Tribolium castaneum: one gene and its partners. The protein of the gene in region 1 purifies or fractionates together with the protein of each later gene. This does not show direct contact. Links are inferred from orthologs where the notes say so. Each region holds a gene or a part of one and is shown in the gene's direction. Other genes may lie near its edges.

Region 1 (4,002 bases):
TAACCAAGTGTTTCCTACTTTAAATGGCCTCGTTTTTGGAAGATTAATCTTTATCGTCGTCGTCATCATCGTCAACATCTTTGGATTTGTGTCTTCTAAAATCACTATCTTTGGATGAGAAAGATCTGCAATAAAATCAATAAAACCCGTCCGGAAAAAATCAAACCACTTGCATTATATCTAGACTAGAATCACTATTTTTTGCTGCATGTTCATGTTCCGAAGACCCTGATCCTGACCCAACTTCCATCAGTTCCTCGGCTTTTCTCTCAGGGTCTGAGTCGGGGTCGGAGTCCTGACTTATGCTAGTCTTCTGCCACGCAGGTATCGACGGACGGACTACTGAGCTTTTGGAAACCGGCGGAAATTGATTCCGGCTCAGGAGCAGGCCTTTGACTGTCGCAATTTCAGATTTCAAGTCTGATAATTGCCGCTGCGTGCTGCTCTCAGCCCCTTGACTAATTTTATCTACTTCTACTTTGACACTAAGTAAATTGTTTTTTAAGTCATTCACAGATTGCTTAAAACTCTTGTCTAATTCATCTATCGACTCCTCTACACTTTTCTTCTTTTTCCCGAAGAAAAACGGCGCTATAAATTTCTGCAAAAAATGGTATAGCGGCTTTTAACCACGGGAAACACGCACCATGTAAAATTTGTACACGACGTACGCTACGAAACTAAAAATGGCCACATTATGTACAACTTCTTTAACCTTATCAAATAAACTAATTTGGACCGTTGCACTGTTTGGGTACGGAATTAGGGAACTTGGGGGCAGAGGCGGCGTCCGATTTCTTTGTTCGTGGTATTTGTAAGCCCCCGATTTCTCGCACGCCTGTCTGATCTCCTCATCGGTTAAACCCTTCCGTTTCAAAAACCTTTGTTGTTCTCCTAGCGATGTTTTGAGCACGTTGGGGTTCTCCAGGAATTTTATAGCCGTGTTCACCTACAGTTAGCAATCGATAAATGGGGCAATTTAACCTAAACAACTTACCAAATCTTCCCGAACTGGGGGAGTCTCAGGGCGATTTTCCTCAAGTGAGGACAGTTGATCAGACATGGTTTTACACTAACCTAATTACTTAAAATTGATACATGGAAGTGATAACGCGAGTTCGGAAGACACCACACTTGTTTTTCTGCAAACTTTTAATTTTCAATCTCAAATTCCAAGGTTAAACAAAAACAAATGTCATTGGGACGCTGTCAAATCAAATTCCTGGAGACAAAGCGAAAGTCACTATTTAAATTTAGTCAAAAGACGACTTTTTTTCAAAAAAAAATTGCGATTTTATTGTAGAAACCTTTAAGCATTAGTCAATAATATTAGATAATTGCGATAATAATAATTTTTGTGTTTTTGCTAACATGGAAGCGTTATCGAGCGCATTATGAAACCAAACACTCTTTGGATTATCGCAGTGACAAGTTGTCAGTGGGTGTATGATGGCCAAGTAAAATAAAAACCGTTCGGCTTTAACTAATAATTCCGTTAAATCACAAAAGTGTGTGCGTAAAAAGCCTCTAATGACTTCACAATTCGGTAAATAACCAGTTTTCCCTCAAACTGTCCAATTTTTGGCCGATTTCAGTCGGCGTGAATAAAACTGCATTTGTAGTGATTACACCTGGTTTTAGGTCATTAGGCGAGAGCTGAGCCGGCAGAATGATCGGGGGGTTGTTCGTGTACAACCACAAGGGCGAAGTCCTCATTTCCCGAGTTTACAGGGATGATATCGGCAGAAATGCGGTCGATGCGTTTCGGGTTAATGTTATACATGCCCGACAACAAGTCCGCTCTCCGGTCACAAACATAGCACGAACGTCCTTTTTCCACATTAAGGTACATTTTGGTTTTGAAAATTGGACAAAAACTGGTGCGATTTCAACTTTTTCACAACCTTTTTGTTGCTTGTTTTGCGAATTTTGCACAAAATTGTATCAAATGAGTCTAGTCTCGGTCGAAATTGTGTTTTTTGATTTCCAGAGGGCTAATATTTGGATTGCCGCCGTAACAAAGCAAAATGTCAACGCCGCCATGGTTTTTGAGTTCTTGTTGAAGATTATCGAAGTCATGCAGTCGTATTTTGGGAAAATCTCTGAAGAGAATATTAAAAATAATTTCGTTCTTATTTATGAATTACTAGACGGTAAAATCGTTCAGTTGCATTGATTTGGTCATTACATGAAAATTGTAGAAATCCTGGACTTTGGTTACCCTCAAAACACCGATACCGGCGTTTTGAAAACGTTCATAACCCAACAAGGGATCAAATCGGCCACTAAGGAAGAACAAGCTCAGATTACGTCACAGGTTACTGGTCAGATTGGTTGGAGGCGTGAGGGTATCAAGTATCGTCGAAACGAGTTGTTTTTGGATGTTTTGGAATATGTTAACCTACTTATGTCGCCTCAAGGTTTTATAATTTTTTTTCCTGAATTTGTTTTCATAAAAAACTTTAGGCCAGGTTCTTTCGGCCCACGTGGCCGGTAAAGTCGTGATGAAGTCGTATTTGTCGGGAATGCCCGAATGCAAGTTCGGGATTAACGACAAGATTGTGATGGAAGCCAAAGGCAAAGGGGGCTTAGGGTCGACGTCTGATTCCGATCAGACCCGGTCTGGCAAACCAGTCGTTGTAATTGACGATTGCCAGTTCCACCAATGCGTGAAATTAAGTAAATTCGAAACCGAACATTCCATTAGCTTTATTCCACCTGACGGTGAATTCGAATTGATGAGATATCGTACAACTAAAGACATATCGTTGCCATTTCGGGTAATTCCCCTCGTGCGTGAAGTCGGTCGCACCAAAATGGAGGTCAAGGTGGTGCTGAAAAGCAACTTCAAGCCGTCGCTTCTTGGGCAAAAAATCGAAGTTAAAATTCCAACTCCGTTGAACACTTCGGGAGTTCAATTGATTTGTTTGAAAGGAAAGGCGAAATACAAAGCATCGGAAAATGCGATTGTTTGGAAGTAAGTTAGTGACAATCGATTGATTCACTTATTTGTATTCTGTTTTTCCCCAAGGATCAAACGTATGGCTGGAATGAAGGAGACGCAATTATCGGCCGAAATCGAGCTTCTGGAGACCGACACGAAGAAGAAGTGGACAAGACCGCCGATTTCTATGAATTTCGAAGTACCGTTCGCACCGTCCGGTTTTAAAGTACGATACTTGAAGGTTTTCGAGCCGAAATTGAATTACTCGGATCATGATGTTATTAAATGGGTGCGGTATATCGGAAGGAGCGGACTTTACGAAACTCGATGCTAAATTTTGAGGAACAACATTTTATTTCAATTATGTTTATTTTGTGTTATCTAATTTAGTAGTTAGTTGCTTTTTTTATCGATGGTTTACATCATGTCGGATCGAATATTATTTCTTGCTCTCAAATACTCAAGGCAAGCTTGATGTTGGAATAGAAGTGTTATGCAAAAGTATGCTCTCAATAATTTTATGTGAAACAATTTCACTGTGTTATCTGTAGATGAGGTATAACCATGTATATTTGTGAAGTGTAATGTTACATAAGCTTGGAAATAAATTGTAGCGAATAAGTTGGTGTCTCATTTGTCGCAAAACCAAAAAAAATCGGATTAGAACATACCTTGTGTTTACATTCGACGAAGTTGATTTTTTTTGTTTCATTATTTATTCTTATTAGAAGATGAGGTAAGTAGGTAAAAACGAATCACGAATACTTGACTGAGAAAAAACAATCACTGATAATCAGGACTCTTGGGCTCCCAATTAATTATTATGCAGTTTGGAAATTAAGTAAAGAATAAATTCATTAACTCCAGCATTTGCGCTAGAAATAAAAAGCGTGTGGTAGCGTTAACTGTCACGCATACGAGGAACGAATACTTATTTTGTTTGAGTTATACTCAAACTCAAAGTTAAAAAATGGAAAGCATGCGGTGACCGGAACTTCTGGCAGTCCCTCTTTCAACCGTCTTTCTAGAATCACCAGGTTGGTTCCAAGTACCTAATC
Region 2 (3,974 bases), on another chromosome or scaffold:
CGGATATAAATACTATTTCGGGAAAAATTAGTAAATATTGTAAAAATACACGACTAGAAAAAAGAAAAAAATTTGGCCGCCCGAGCAGGGACTTGAACCCTGGACCCTTGGATTAAAAGTCCAATGCTCTACCGACTGAGCTACCCGGGCTTGTACTTAACAAGCCCCCTCAGTCCTAGTCCTCCAAAATCTTTCCGCAACAACCACAAGTTATTAAAATTTTGAATTCAACAATAATTACCGAAAAGTGTTGAGTTTTTCCATAGCTTTACCCACCACCGTCTTCTTCAGCGGCGTCGGACTCGTCCCCGGCGTGCTATTAGCCGAATTGAGTTTTTCATCGGCCACAAGGGCCCTAGCCAGTTGCATGTCGCTCTCGTTCATATTTCTTACCGACACGACAAAATCACAAAACCAATTACCACTTACAGCACACCTAACATTTGTTAAGATCAAGGTAAATGAAAAATCATAATCGCAAGTACGGCCCTGACCTAAATGATAAATAAGCGCGCTTTTGTCTCGGTTAGGGTCAGGTTTCCTCTTAGGGTCACTTATTTTTGTTGTTCTGAAACCGTCCGCGAAGAACTTTCGACAAGAACTGACAGAACTTGCCTTTAACGAGTCGACTCTGGCATTTTTTCTTTTAAATTAAATCGACGACGGCAAATAAATTAATATAAAAATCTAGTCCATGCACCGCTCCGAGCGGTCGGGTTATGAAATTGACGGTGAAAAACGACTATTATTATCTCAGCGAGGTGTTTTCCTGCTGTAGGCCCGCGGGGACTGCAAAAAAAATATGCGCCCAAACAATTTTATTATAATGCAATTAAATTAAAAGAAAAATTGTGACAAAAAAACATAACACAGATGAATAAGAATTTCCACATAAGACCAAACATTATTATAAATAGTTTAGATTTTTGAACATTTGTTTTTGAAAATTCATAAATGTTAGGTCACTTTGGTCGCTAGTGTCGCTACTTTCTGGCACAGTTGGTACCGAGAACACAGGCAAAAATTTCCGAAATTGGAGCCATTTATTTAAGCAGTACATTTTTTACATAAATTTGTTATACACTGATGGTTGTAATCTGGTCTATTGTGTCTCTTATCTCTTCCTCATTATCTAAATACTTTTTTGGTGAATTATTTATGTTGGAGACATTCCCGAGTGATAAGGCGAAGGTTGGTCTACCTGCCTGGCTCCATCAGCTGTCAAAAATGGAGGAGTTACAGCTGTCAGAAACTTTACAACGATATTTTTCCGACGTTTTTCTTTGTTGTGACGAGGAAAAATCCGGGAGCGCCTCCTTGACCAAAACCGTCGAATTAATCAAGTCGGGCAACGTGCCCGAAGACATCATATCCCAAGTGAGTGGTTTTCTCACTCTCTAACCTCACATTCTGACATTTCTCCTGTCAGATTTCAGAGATCTGTTGGGGCCAAACCACGACCAGTTTGTCTAGGAAGCAATTTTTTTCCGCTTTGAAATTAGTCGCCGCCTATCAGGCCAACATGCCGTTAAATGCCGACGTAGTCACTTCCAATTTGGAGTTGCCTTTGCCCAGGTTTACTTGGAATAATTTGGAGAGTGATTCACAAGTTCCTGATTTAATCGAACTGAGAAACGATGCCAATTATGTTGAACAAGTCGATGCGAACAGCACCGACTCGGAAGTCGATAGTGATACGCTTAGTATAGTTAGGAATGGGTCGCCCGAAATTTCCAGCACCGCCTCTGATAGCCCCACGCCCACGAATAGTGTGCAGGACAGGAGCTGGGCCATCGGGGGGGCCTGGCAGGGGCTGGTCTCCGAAGAACAAAGACAGCTCTTGGGTGAGTCGTGGAATGAAATAATGAAGCATTGTTTCGTTAAAACAATAAATCAACGGATTTTTGTTTAGTAAACAGGCAGGTGTCGCCGAATTGACTAGCTATTGAGTTATTAATGCGTCGTGTGACGGCATTTGCATTCATCAATTCATTTTGAAATTGTTGACATTACGTTCACTTTTCCAAAAATGGTGGCTCTTAATAAATTTTGTTTAATTAATGTAGTGACGCTTGCGACATATTTCAACGCGTGGTACACATTATTTTTGGTCAATAAACAAACAATTCGGAAACATAATTAAAGAATTAACGACTCGGAAAGTCGTAAATTTGATTGCTTTTGAGTATGTTCTACATCCAGTGATACAAGTTGTTGTTTTATCAATTTTCATTTAATTCATTACGCAGATAATTGTGAGTTTTTTTCTACAAAGGTCTTACACTATTAGCAATATTTTTTTTATTTCCCTTGTTTAGGGACGGAGGAGGAGTCGAGCGATCGGCACAGCAGCGAGGAGGACACGGAAGTGAGCCCCGAGATCTGGACGATCAACCCCGAACAGCGCGACTACTACACGAAACAATTCCGCTCCCTCCAGCCCGACACCAACGCCTTACTCGCCGGTCCCGTCGCCCGCATGTTTTTCGAAAAATCGCGCCTTCCAGTCCACGAGCTCCGCAAAATCTGGCAGCTGGCCGACGTGACCAAAGACGGCGCCCTCAGCCTCCAGGAGTTCAACACTGCGATGCATCTAGTCGTCTTGCGCCGCAACCACATCGAACTCCCCGACGTCCTGCCGCCCACCCTCATCCCCGGCAACGAAACGCCCCTGTCCGTGAGCCCCGAGACCGAGCCCATGCTCTCCCCCCAAACGAAAGACACCGCCAAAGAGTGGACGAAATTCGTCGACAGCCCCACCAGCTCCGTTAGTTCCCCCGGCCCCAAACCCGTCAACTTCGATTTCCAGAAAATCACACTCGATAAAGACTCGAAAATCTTACACCCAGTCCCGCTTCGAATCACGCCAGAGTGCCCCATGGCGCCCCCGGGCGAAGACTCCGTCGACAATGCGGAAGCGCACAGTCCGAAGAAATTCACCGATAATAGCGCCATCCAGCGGCCGCAGCCGAAAAAAATCAGCATACCGGGCCCTGGGGCGATCCCTCCGCCCCCCACCACGCAAACGGGGGATGAAGGGCCGGTCAGTCTCCCGGTTTTTCCCCCGCCTAAGAAGGAAAAACCGCCCCCGCCTCCGCCCAGACCGTTCAAAAGCCACGGTCGGAGCTCGTCGCTTGATTTGAACCGGTTGAGCAAGTTGGGAGCCCCGCCCACGATCCCGCCCAGAGTCAGTCCCAATATCCAATCGAAGAAGCTGACCAATCAGAAGTCGGAAGGGGACGCCTTTGCCAACTTTGATAGTTTCGAGAAGTATGAAAATGTGGACGAGGGGATTTTTCCGGGTGATTTGTATGAAGCGGAGAGAAAGAAGATTTTTGCGAGGTTTACTGAATTGCCAAGAAAACACGGGGCGTTTGAGGTTTATCGAAAACCGGCCAAGAATCAAGAAGGCGGGCAAGACGAGAAAGCCAAGTGGGAGTTGTTTCAAATGTTGCAGGAGGAGAATACGGTGCTGTTGAGGATTTGTCAAGAGTTGAGTCAAGAACTGGCCGATATTCGGGAAGAGAAAATGACGCTAAAGTTGAGATTAGAAAAACAATTAAGTCTGGGATAGTTGAGATGAATCAAATGCTATTTAAGTTGAATCTCCAGGTATTATTAAGGCCGACAGTGCCATAAACTGCCTAAATTGTTCAATTATGTTTATCATTGAGTGAAAGAATATTTTTTTAATGACGTTATCAAATCATATTTGAAAGAATCTATATGTTGGTCAGATTTAGGTTGTTTATATTATATATGGCTCTATTGCAGCAAAGTCTTATATTTTTTCGTGTAGCTATAGGAAGACTGTATTTTAAGATTAAATAAATACTTTAAAATTATTAGGTTTTAAGGAAAATCGCATTTTCTGCATTACACTTTATTTCCGAATGATAAAAAATAACCTAATCCCTTAATACCACGGTTTCCTTGGTCTCTGAAGCAAGTTTCTTTCTTTTGCAAAAAATACA
Region 3 (4,088 bases), on another chromosome or scaffold:
CGTAGTACTGTATTTTGTTATTAATTTTTGATACAAATAAAAAATGTTACAAATGTGTGGTAATAAATTAAATTAATTGAAAGTACTTAGTACCTCGTTAATTATCTATTTTTGGTACTATAATAATCTCAATAAAACTAAGTCAATATGATATCCCAATAAAAAAATCAACAAGAGGACAATATCAAAAGTGCGCCTTTTTGGCGTAAAATTGTCTGAGGATTCCAAATATGTCATCATTTTTCTTCCACAATTTATAGTTTTGGAGATATTGAGTTTGCACAATTTTTTTACTGAACCGTTTTCTATTAGTAAAGTGCTCATTTTGTCGACTTTAATTTTTTCATAATTTGAAGTTAACATTAAGATTTGTTTTGTTCAGCTTCATGTTGGCCACACTGTTTTTCTTGATTTCAAAGCCATCTTTTGCCACCGCTAACTTACATTTGATTAGTTGGCCATGCTTTGATCATGCTTTTACAAAATTGAAGCAAAGGATGCAATATATGTTTATATAGCTGGATTTTCAGATACCATTACAGCGAAAATAAAACTGTATTGTGTGTTTGTAATTAGAGTTGTACACGATTATTTCGCGAGTAATTAATTGGTAAAATAAAACTTACGACGATATTGCGCGCTGACAAGTAGTACGCCACAAAATTGAAAGTTTTACGTTTTTTATTTCGCATTTTGAGCCGGTCAAGTGTTTAGGTTTAAAGTTTCGTTAATTAACAAATAAAAATATACAGGACATTTACCTGAGGATTGTTGTAACATGTTCGGCATCCTGGCGTCTTCAAATTTCCAGGAGACGGTCATATTATGGTCATATTCACTTACACTGCCACAATAGTCAATAATAATTATTCACACACAAACTAACAGCGATTATTAACGCTTTAAAAACAAACCTAAATCTCTTACACAACTTTTGAATTCAAATTTTTCTAGAATCACAAAACAGACGCGGCGCACAATCGGCGGATGATTACAATATCACGTACCAACATGACAGTGCAAGTTGCAAAAAACACTAAACAATTTGAATGTTTGTGAATGTTTTAATTATCTGAGGTATTTAAAAAGGCCCAACTGATGGAAAATCTAAACCACTAATGAATTTTGAATGAATATTGGACATTATTCTAAAAAAAAAACTAAAAAGTGGTGGTTACTTTTAATCGACCAACTTGTTACTGTTTGATGAAATTTTTGGAACAAAACCACATTAAGCAAGCAGTTTAATTTAAACAATAATTGCAGAAAAATTAATTAATTTGTTAATATTTTACCCCAGTACAGTCCCACCAACCATTTGACGTCTGACATTATTTTGACATTTAAGTTTACGTAGATAATTTTAATTTATTCCGCAATGGTTTAACCACTTCCCCCTTATTTCATGTTTCGCCTTAAGTTGCAAGTAACTAACAATGGGACTGTACCAGTTGGAGGAACAGGTAAGCGAAGTCCCCCCAAGTGAGGTTATGTTAACCATGTTGTCAGCCCCCCATCGTCAAGGCCATCTTCGCGGGCTGCGAGCCCGAGAAATACAAAGAACTGATTAAATCGAAACAGGACGTAAACTGCCTTGATAGCAAAAAGCGCACTCCTCTGCACGCGGCCGCGTTCACCGGCGACGCCGCAATCGCCTCCGTCTTGCTCTCGAACGGGGCCCGAGTCAACGCGAAAGACACCAAGTGGCTGACGCCGCTCCACCAAGCCTGCTACATCCGCTCAAGCGAGACAGTGTCCATTCTGTTGAACAATAACGCCGACGTCAACGCGCGAGACAAGCTCTGGCAGACGCCCCTGCACGTGGCGGCGGCCAACGGGGCGTACAAATGCATCGAGCAGTTGCTCAACCACGTGCCCAACCCCAACGTCACCGACAGAGGGGGGCGCACGGCCCTGCACCTCGCCGCCTACAGCGAAATGGCCGATTGCGTGGAACTCCTCATTTCGGGGGGCTGTATTGTCAACGCGTACGACAAGAAGGACTGCCGCCCCCTGCACCGGGCGGTGCAGGTGGGCAGCTTGAGCATAATCGAGCTGTTGTTAAAATACAAAGCTGAGATTAACGCTAAAGACAGGAACCAGTACACCCCCTTGCATGTGGCGGCGGCCGGGGGCACAGACGCCGTGTGCCGCCTTTTGATCAGTCACGGGGCTGACGTGAACGCGCAGAATGTCTTCGGGAACACCCCCTTGCATATTGCGTGTCTCAACGGACACCATTTGGTCTGCCAGGAGTTGATCAACTCGGGGGCTGATATCGAAGCGGTGAATTATCGGGGGCAGACGCCCCTGCATATCGCTGCGGTTAGCACGAATGGGGTTGATTGCATGATGTTGTTATTGACGCAAAAGGTTGATATTAATAGGCAGAGTCTCGATGGTAGGACTCCGCTACATATGACGGCAATACATGGGAGGTTTACGAGGAGTAAGATTTTGATTGACAAGGGGGCGACGATTGATTGTCCCGATAAGAATGATTGTACCCCCTTGCATATTGCGGCGAGGTATGGGCACGATTTGTTGACCAATACATTGTTGTCTTATGGGGCTAATCCCTCACAGAGGGGCTACGAAGGGAGGCAGCCCCTTCATATGTGCTGTTTGGCCGGTTATGTAGAGTGTTGCAGGAAGTTACTGCAAGCTGGGGTGGATTTAAACGCTGTGGATGATTCGGGGAAAACGCCAACTCATTGCGCAGCGTATAAAGGGTAAGAATAGTCGAAAAAAATAATGGATTGATTTTAACTTACGAGTAATACGAGTAATTATTAATATGTATTTCAAAAGGTAAAAATTTTAAATATAATTAACGAATACATAAAATATGAAAATTAAATAAAAAATATCGAGAAAAGAAAACTTCAAGATTTGACGAGTCTGATTAAAAAATTAAATTAAAATTATTATACTATGGAGGATGATGCTATGGAGATTCTTTATGTGAAAATGAGAAAAAAGAAAAGGAAAAAAAAACAAATAGACTGTTTCTAATCTTAAGCAACAAATGTTATTATCAAAATTATTTTTCTCTTCGAATTCTTTTAGCTTTAAATTTGTTGTTGGGATTCTGTTTAACAGAGAATTCTTTTCTTATACAGAAACTCTGAATTTGTGCTTTATATTATTCCAAAGAATACAAATACGTTATTGCCATTTTTTGTTAAGAACTGAAATATTCTTGAGAGGGGTAAAGCCTCCTGAAGATTGCGGACAAGGGTCCTTTTTCAAGAGGCGTAAAATTTTGTTTTGGAAGAAACTTTTTGTAAATTTTTGTGGCAGCTTTAGATTTATTGGGTAATTTTCTTTACAAAATGTTGTTTTTGTTATTATCTGTACGACGCACTATTTTATACAAAAACGGGTTTTTTCTTCTGATTTGCTGTTTTTCTCTTTTCTTTCGTCTATAGGTTACTTCCTACCCTCACTTATTTTTTGTTGATCTTTTTAATTTTTTCTTTATATTTCCATGTTCAATTCTCTATCAGACTTTTATCTTTCCTGTTCTTGGTTTATGTATCGCTGTAGTCGGCTCTTCCTTCTCTCATCTTTGTTAAATCCCATTTCTGTTATCCCTCCTGTCTTTTTTACTTATTTTTTTCTCTATTTACCCTCTTTCTTTCTATGTTCTCTCAGCCAAAGAAATTCAGGAATCATTTCTGGGCATAGGTCTGTAGAAACTTTTTTCTTATATCTTATGTTCTTGGTTTGCGTATTGTTGTTCTCTACCCTTTCTTCCTTCCTCTTCCTTCCCTCTTCTTTTTTAATTCCCACTTCTGTTATTCCTCCTGTCTTTTTTATTTTTTTTTCTATTTACTGTCCTCCTTTCCCGGTTCTCTCAGTCAAAGTAAATCAGAGAGCATTTTTGAACATAGGTTATAGAATCTTTTTTCTTATTTTTTTGTATTCTTGGTTTGCATATCGCTATTCTCTACTCTTCCTTCCTTCATCTTCTTTCTCAAATCCCACTGCTGTTGTCATTCCGGTCTTTTTTTATTTACTATTTTTTTATGTTTTTCTGTCTTCCCTTCCCTCTTTTCCCAGTCAAAGGAAGTCAAGGAGAATTT
Region 4 (4,065 bases), about 6.5 Mb from region 1:
AATAACAAGGCTGAGTACAGCAAACACAACAATTCTTTCACTTTGAGTGAAGCCATCACGAACAAATAACACAGAAAATTAGCAATTTAAGCTGCCACAAGCCATGGTAAGTTTCAAGCGAACAGCTACGCGAAGAATGGGACAGGAGCGGACCCACTTAAAGTGAAATTAATCGCAGCCCGAGCCCTAAATCAGCAAGACATGACAAGGGAGTGCATCGCTAAGGTCAGAAATCAGCCTCATTGCATGAAAATCGCTCCAATACATCAATTTTATTGTAATTTCTATAAATAGCCATGGGTCATCTTGCCCCTATTGTTAGGTGACCCAACATTCAAACTGCAGTTGGCGCCCCTGTCACAACAATGCAAGGTGTCAAAATGGCGACGGTTTTGTTTTGATTTGCTCATTAATGGGCTTAATTGCAACCAGAAACCATGTACACCCTTTTGCACGGCTTTTACAAATACCTGGTGCAAAAAGACGAGTATTGTGTCCTGATCCTCGGCCTCGACAACGCCGGAAAAACGGTAAATATGCCCCGAAGTGCTGCCAACCTAACGCCCAATTCTAGACTTACCTGGAGGCGGCAAAAACCAAACTTACGAAAAATTACACGGGGATTCACCCCAGCAAAATAACCACGACCGTGGGCCTAAACATTGGTAAAATCGAGATTGCCGGCATAAGACTGAACTTCTGGGACTTGGGCGGCCAGAGCGAGCTCCAGTCGCTGTGGGACAAAGTGAGTTGGGGGCTAGTTATAGACTGATTGGGGCTGGTTTTAGTATTACGCAGAGTCGCACGCGATTATTTACATCGTGGACTCGTCGGACAGGGACAGGATCGACGACTCGAAGGAAACTTTCGGTGCGTGGCAACTTAGCCCTTCTTTTGTGATTATGGCGTTTCAGATAAGATGATAGCCAATGAGAACCTGCGTGGCGTTCCGTTGCTCGTTTTGGCAAATAAGCAGGATATCCCTGAGTGCATGGGAGTGCGGGAGGTTAAGCCCATATTTAACAAGAACGCCCATTTGATAGGCAAGCGCGACTGCATGGTGATGCCCATCTCTGCCTTGACGGGGTAAAAAGCGCGTTTTTGCGACCTGAGTGCAGTTGTTTTTGCAGCGACGGCGTCGACGAGGGCATTAAGTGGCTGGTGGACTGCATCAAGCGCAACAGTTTCATACGACCGGCACGCAACCACGAAGAAAATTGATTTTTACGACACTATTCCTAATCTGTAAATCAACAAACCTAATAAATAGATAAAATAACTGTGCGGGGTCTTATCTCTAGTTATCACTCTCTTAGCAGGTGTTTACGGTACTGGTCAAGGCGTGGGGCGAAATGTACCCGTACTACGAGAGCGAGTGGAGCGTTTTACCCCCAGAGTTGAACCGAAGGTAAAAGCTTCCGTTTTTTGGAAAAATGAGCAGCTTTTGTGGGGCCGTACCGCTTGTCATTGTGGGGGCATTTCTGTTTTGTGTCGTCATGTACCGACGCAGTCACACGGGGAAAACACCAATAAATGATTAATTAAATTCCGTTTTAATGAATCAGTTAATTTGAGTCTTAAATCCTTTATTAGGGTTATTTGAGACGTCGACAGGTGTGACGTCACAAGCCGGCCATATTGCAAATGTCTACTTGTCAAAAAAGTTGCAGTGAGATGGTCTAACACCGAAAAAACCGTTCTTAAATCGCTTTTTTAATTTAGACCGAGTTTGTGTTAGCGGTGAGTGCGAAATCGGTTCGTTTTGCGCCCATTTTCCCAATTTCCCGGCATCTGTCAAAGAAAGTGAGGTGTGAAAATTACAGGTGAACATTGTAAATAACTCCCCTGAACGTGCGTTTTCCCCGAAAACGCCCCATGTTTATGTGTTGTTTGCTCCTCGATTAACGTTTTGTGTGTCGCTGTGCTAAAGATGAATGCCTCAGAGCACGGGTAAATAACAACCCCCACGTTGGCCGAACCGTGCCTAAGCCACTCGTTTCAGGTTCAATCCGGCCTTTAACATGGCCACAATCAAGCAGGCGGTCAACGAGGCCATCGAGCGAGGTAACTGCCCCAAATTGGCTGCGCCCCCCTAACGTCTCGTTTCAGTGCGAATGCCCACCCCCATGCGGCTGCGGGACCTGATCAGGCAAATCCGGGCGGCTAGGACGGCCGCCGAGGAGCGCAGCGTCGTGAACAAGGAGTGCGCCTACATCAGGTCGACGTTCCGCGAGGAGGACTCCGTGTGGCGGTGTCGCAACATCGCCAAGCTGCTCTACATCCACATGCTGGGCTACCCGGCCCATTTCGGGCAGCTGGAGTGCCTGAAGCTGATCGCGAGTTCGCGGTTTACGGATAAGCGGATTGGGTACTTGGGGGCGATGCTGCTCCTGGACGAGCGGCAGGACGTGCATTTGCTGATCACGAACTGTCTCAAAAAGTGGGTTTTTTCTGGTTTGGGAAACGGGGTAATGATTTGTTTTCAGTGACCTGAATTCCACGACTCAGTTTGTTGTGGGGTTGGCGCTGTGCACGTTAGGGGCGATTGCTTCGCCAGAAATGGCACGTGATCTTGCGGGGGAAGTGGAGCGGCTAATGAAGTCGCCTAACGCTTATATTAGGAAAAAAGCAGCTCTGTGCGCTTTCCGAATTATTAAACGTGTGCCTGAACTCATGGAGATATTTTTACCAGCCACCAGGAGTCTACTATCTGAGAAAAACCATGGTGCGCTTTTTTTTACTCAAAGTTGGGTTTTTGATTAATTTTTTCAGGTGTGCTAATCACGGGGGTTACGCTCATTACGGAAATGTGCGAGAATAGCCCAGACACCTTAAACCACTTCAAAAAAGTAAGTCATTAAATAATAAATAATAAAAATAAAAATAATAATAATAATAAAGCAAAAATTAAACAGACGAAAGTTGGTTCTCAAATGATAAAGAAGAAACGATTTATCATTGATTTTTGTTTCGATTGACATTTTTTTTATATCGGGTCACTATAAAATATTGTCGGTAAATGAGGTCAATCTTTCTCCACTGTCTGCCTTATAAGTTCTGTACATGATTAAAACTTCTCGCAATGATTGTTTATCCCAATAAACAGTGCATTTATTCAATTCAAATCATTCGTTAAATGAAATTAAAAAAATACATAATGCAAATGCGGTTGAATATGTAAAATATGTTAATCTTATCAGTTTAACCAGTTGTAAAAGGATGCGCTACATTAGTGTTAAAACATCGTTTAAATAGATAAAATAGTAACCGATCCAACTGGCGGTTTCCTCGTATTTTCGACGAAACGTAGAAGACACCAACACTGAATGTCATGTTCAACGCAATAAAGTACTCAATTTTCGGCTCTGTTTAGAATTATTTTACGAAAAAAACATACAATAATAATAACTGCTGTAACGTCCAAAACAATTCTTAATCCTCTTACCAAAATAATTTTTTCGTTTAAAATTTGCCTTTAGATCTCGATGCGAAAAAGTGGTATTAAATAAAATGATTGATTTTTTTTAAAATCTGATTTTATACAACTGATTTGGAACAACAACTGACAAGTGATTAAGTGAATAATAAAACTGAACAAATTGTGCGAAAAAGCATAAACCGTAATTAACAAAAACACAATCAGATAATTACTGCAAAGGTACAGACAGCGTATTAGGTATTAAAGGTGTTTTGAAAAAACAACACAAATTTTTCTGAAGTTTTTAAAAGTTTTAAACGTTTAAACATTTGGTTAGTCAGGTTTTTAAACTGTGTTTTTGTTAATTCAATTTAAATATTTTTTTATGGTCACATGGACAGAACACAAGTCAACGTTTGAAGAAACCAAGAAGTAACGCAATGTCTCGCTTTATTTTCATGAAATAATTGCTGTTCTTGTAGAGAAAAATATTCAAACTCAGGAAAAAAGCAAAAGTTATGCCATTATCTCATTTAGATATTTTTTCGTTTGGGTTTAGCGAAATCTCACTAAAGATGCACGCTTCACTTATTATTATTATAATAGTATTTCTTAACAAATTTAGTGATTTTTTAAAATTTATTGTT

The links. Proteins that work in one complex are often made in the same cells at the same time.
Region 2: the proteins of AP-2mu (region 1) and Reps purify together in Homo sapiens (affinity purification with mass spectrometry; 3 studies listed by BioGRID and IntAct, counting the BioPlex papers as one, with this or other methods). This does not show direct contact. The link is inferred for Tribolium castaneum from reciprocal best matches to the Homo sapiens genes AP2M1 and REPS1.
Region 3: the proteins of AP-2mu (region 1) and serine/threonine-protein phosphatase 6 regulatory ankyrin repeat subunit A purify together in Homo sapiens (affinity purification with mass spectrometry; 3 studies listed by BioGRID and IntAct, counting the BioPlex papers as one, with this or other methods). This does not show direct contact. The link is inferred for Tribolium castaneum from reciprocal best matches to the Homo sapiens genes AP2M1 and ANKRD28.
Region 4: the proteins of AP-2mu (region 1) and AP-1gamma purify together in Homo sapiens (affinity purification with mass spectrometry; 3 studies listed by BioGRID and IntAct, counting the BioPlex papers as one, with this or other methods). This does not show direct contact. The link is inferred for Tribolium castaneum from reciprocal best matches to the Homo sapiens genes AP2M1 and AP1G1.

What each region holds. Positions count from the first base shown.
Region 1 is NC_087395.1:22,141,200-22,145,201, reverse strand, and holds AP-2mu (AP-2 complex subunit mu), read left to right. Parts: upstream 1-1,446; 5' UTR 1,447-1,546; intron 1,547-1,641; 5' UTR 1,642-1,669; coding exon 1,670-1,846; intron 1,847-1,990; coding exon 1,991-2,153; intron 2,154-2,201; coding exon 2,202-2,420; intron 2,421-2,466; coding exon 2,467-2,977; intron 2,978-3,031; coding exon 3,032-3,278; 3' UTR 3,279-3,502; downstream 3,503-4,002. Other genes in the region: peroxisomal membrane protein PEX14, read right to left, coding at 44-125, 174-601, 647-949, 998-1,063.
Region 2 is NC_087399.1:2,782,916-2,786,889, forward strand, and holds Reps (ralBP1-associated Eps domain-containing protein 1), read left to right. Parts: upstream 1-1,174; 5' UTR 1,175-1,227; coding exon 1,228-1,377; intron 1,378-1,429; coding exon 1,430-1,844; intron 1,845-2,318; coding exon 2,319-3,574; 3' UTR 3,575-3,845; downstream 3,846-3,974. UniProt on the Homo sapiens protein: May coordinate the cellular actions of activated EGF receptors and Ral-GTPases.
Region 3 is NC_087401.1:12,715,591-12,719,678, reverse strand, and holds the start of serine/threonine-protein phosphatase 6 regulatory ankyrin repeat subunit A, read left to right. Parts: upstream 1-1,288; 5' UTR 1,289-1,436; coding exon 1,437-1,463; intron 1,464-1,509; coding exon 1,510-2,732; intron 2,733-4,088. Other genes in the region: spindle assembly abnormal protein 6 homolog, read left to right, coding at 1-5. UniProt on the Homo sapiens protein: Regulatory subunit of protein phosphatase 6 (PP6) that may be involved in the recognition of phosphoprotein substrates. Involved in the PP6-mediated dephosphorylation of NFKBIE opposing its degradation in response to TNF-alpha.
Region 4 is NC_087395.1:15,676,440-15,680,504, reverse strand, and holds the start of AP-1gamma (AP-1 complex subunit gamma-1), read left to right. Parts: upstream 1-1,265; 5' UTR 1,266-1,352; coding exon 1,353-1,408; intron 1,409-1,426; exon of another isoform or gene 1,427-1,930; coding exon of another isoform or gene 1,931-1,950; intron 1,951-2,002; coding exon 2,003-2,064; intron 2,065-2,109; coding exon 2,110-2,440; intron 2,441-2,486; coding exon 2,487-2,725; intron 2,726-2,772; coding exon 2,773-2,849; intron 2,850-4,065. Other genes in the region: leukocyte surface antigen CD53, read right to left, coding at 1-56; Arfrp1 (ADP-ribosylation factor-related protein 1), read left to right, coding at 438-530, 575-745, 789-870, 915-1,086, 1,131-1,221. UniProt on the Homo sapiens protein: Subunit of clathrin-associated adaptor protein complex 1 that plays a role in protein sorting in the late-Golgi/trans-Golgi network (TGN) and/or endosomes.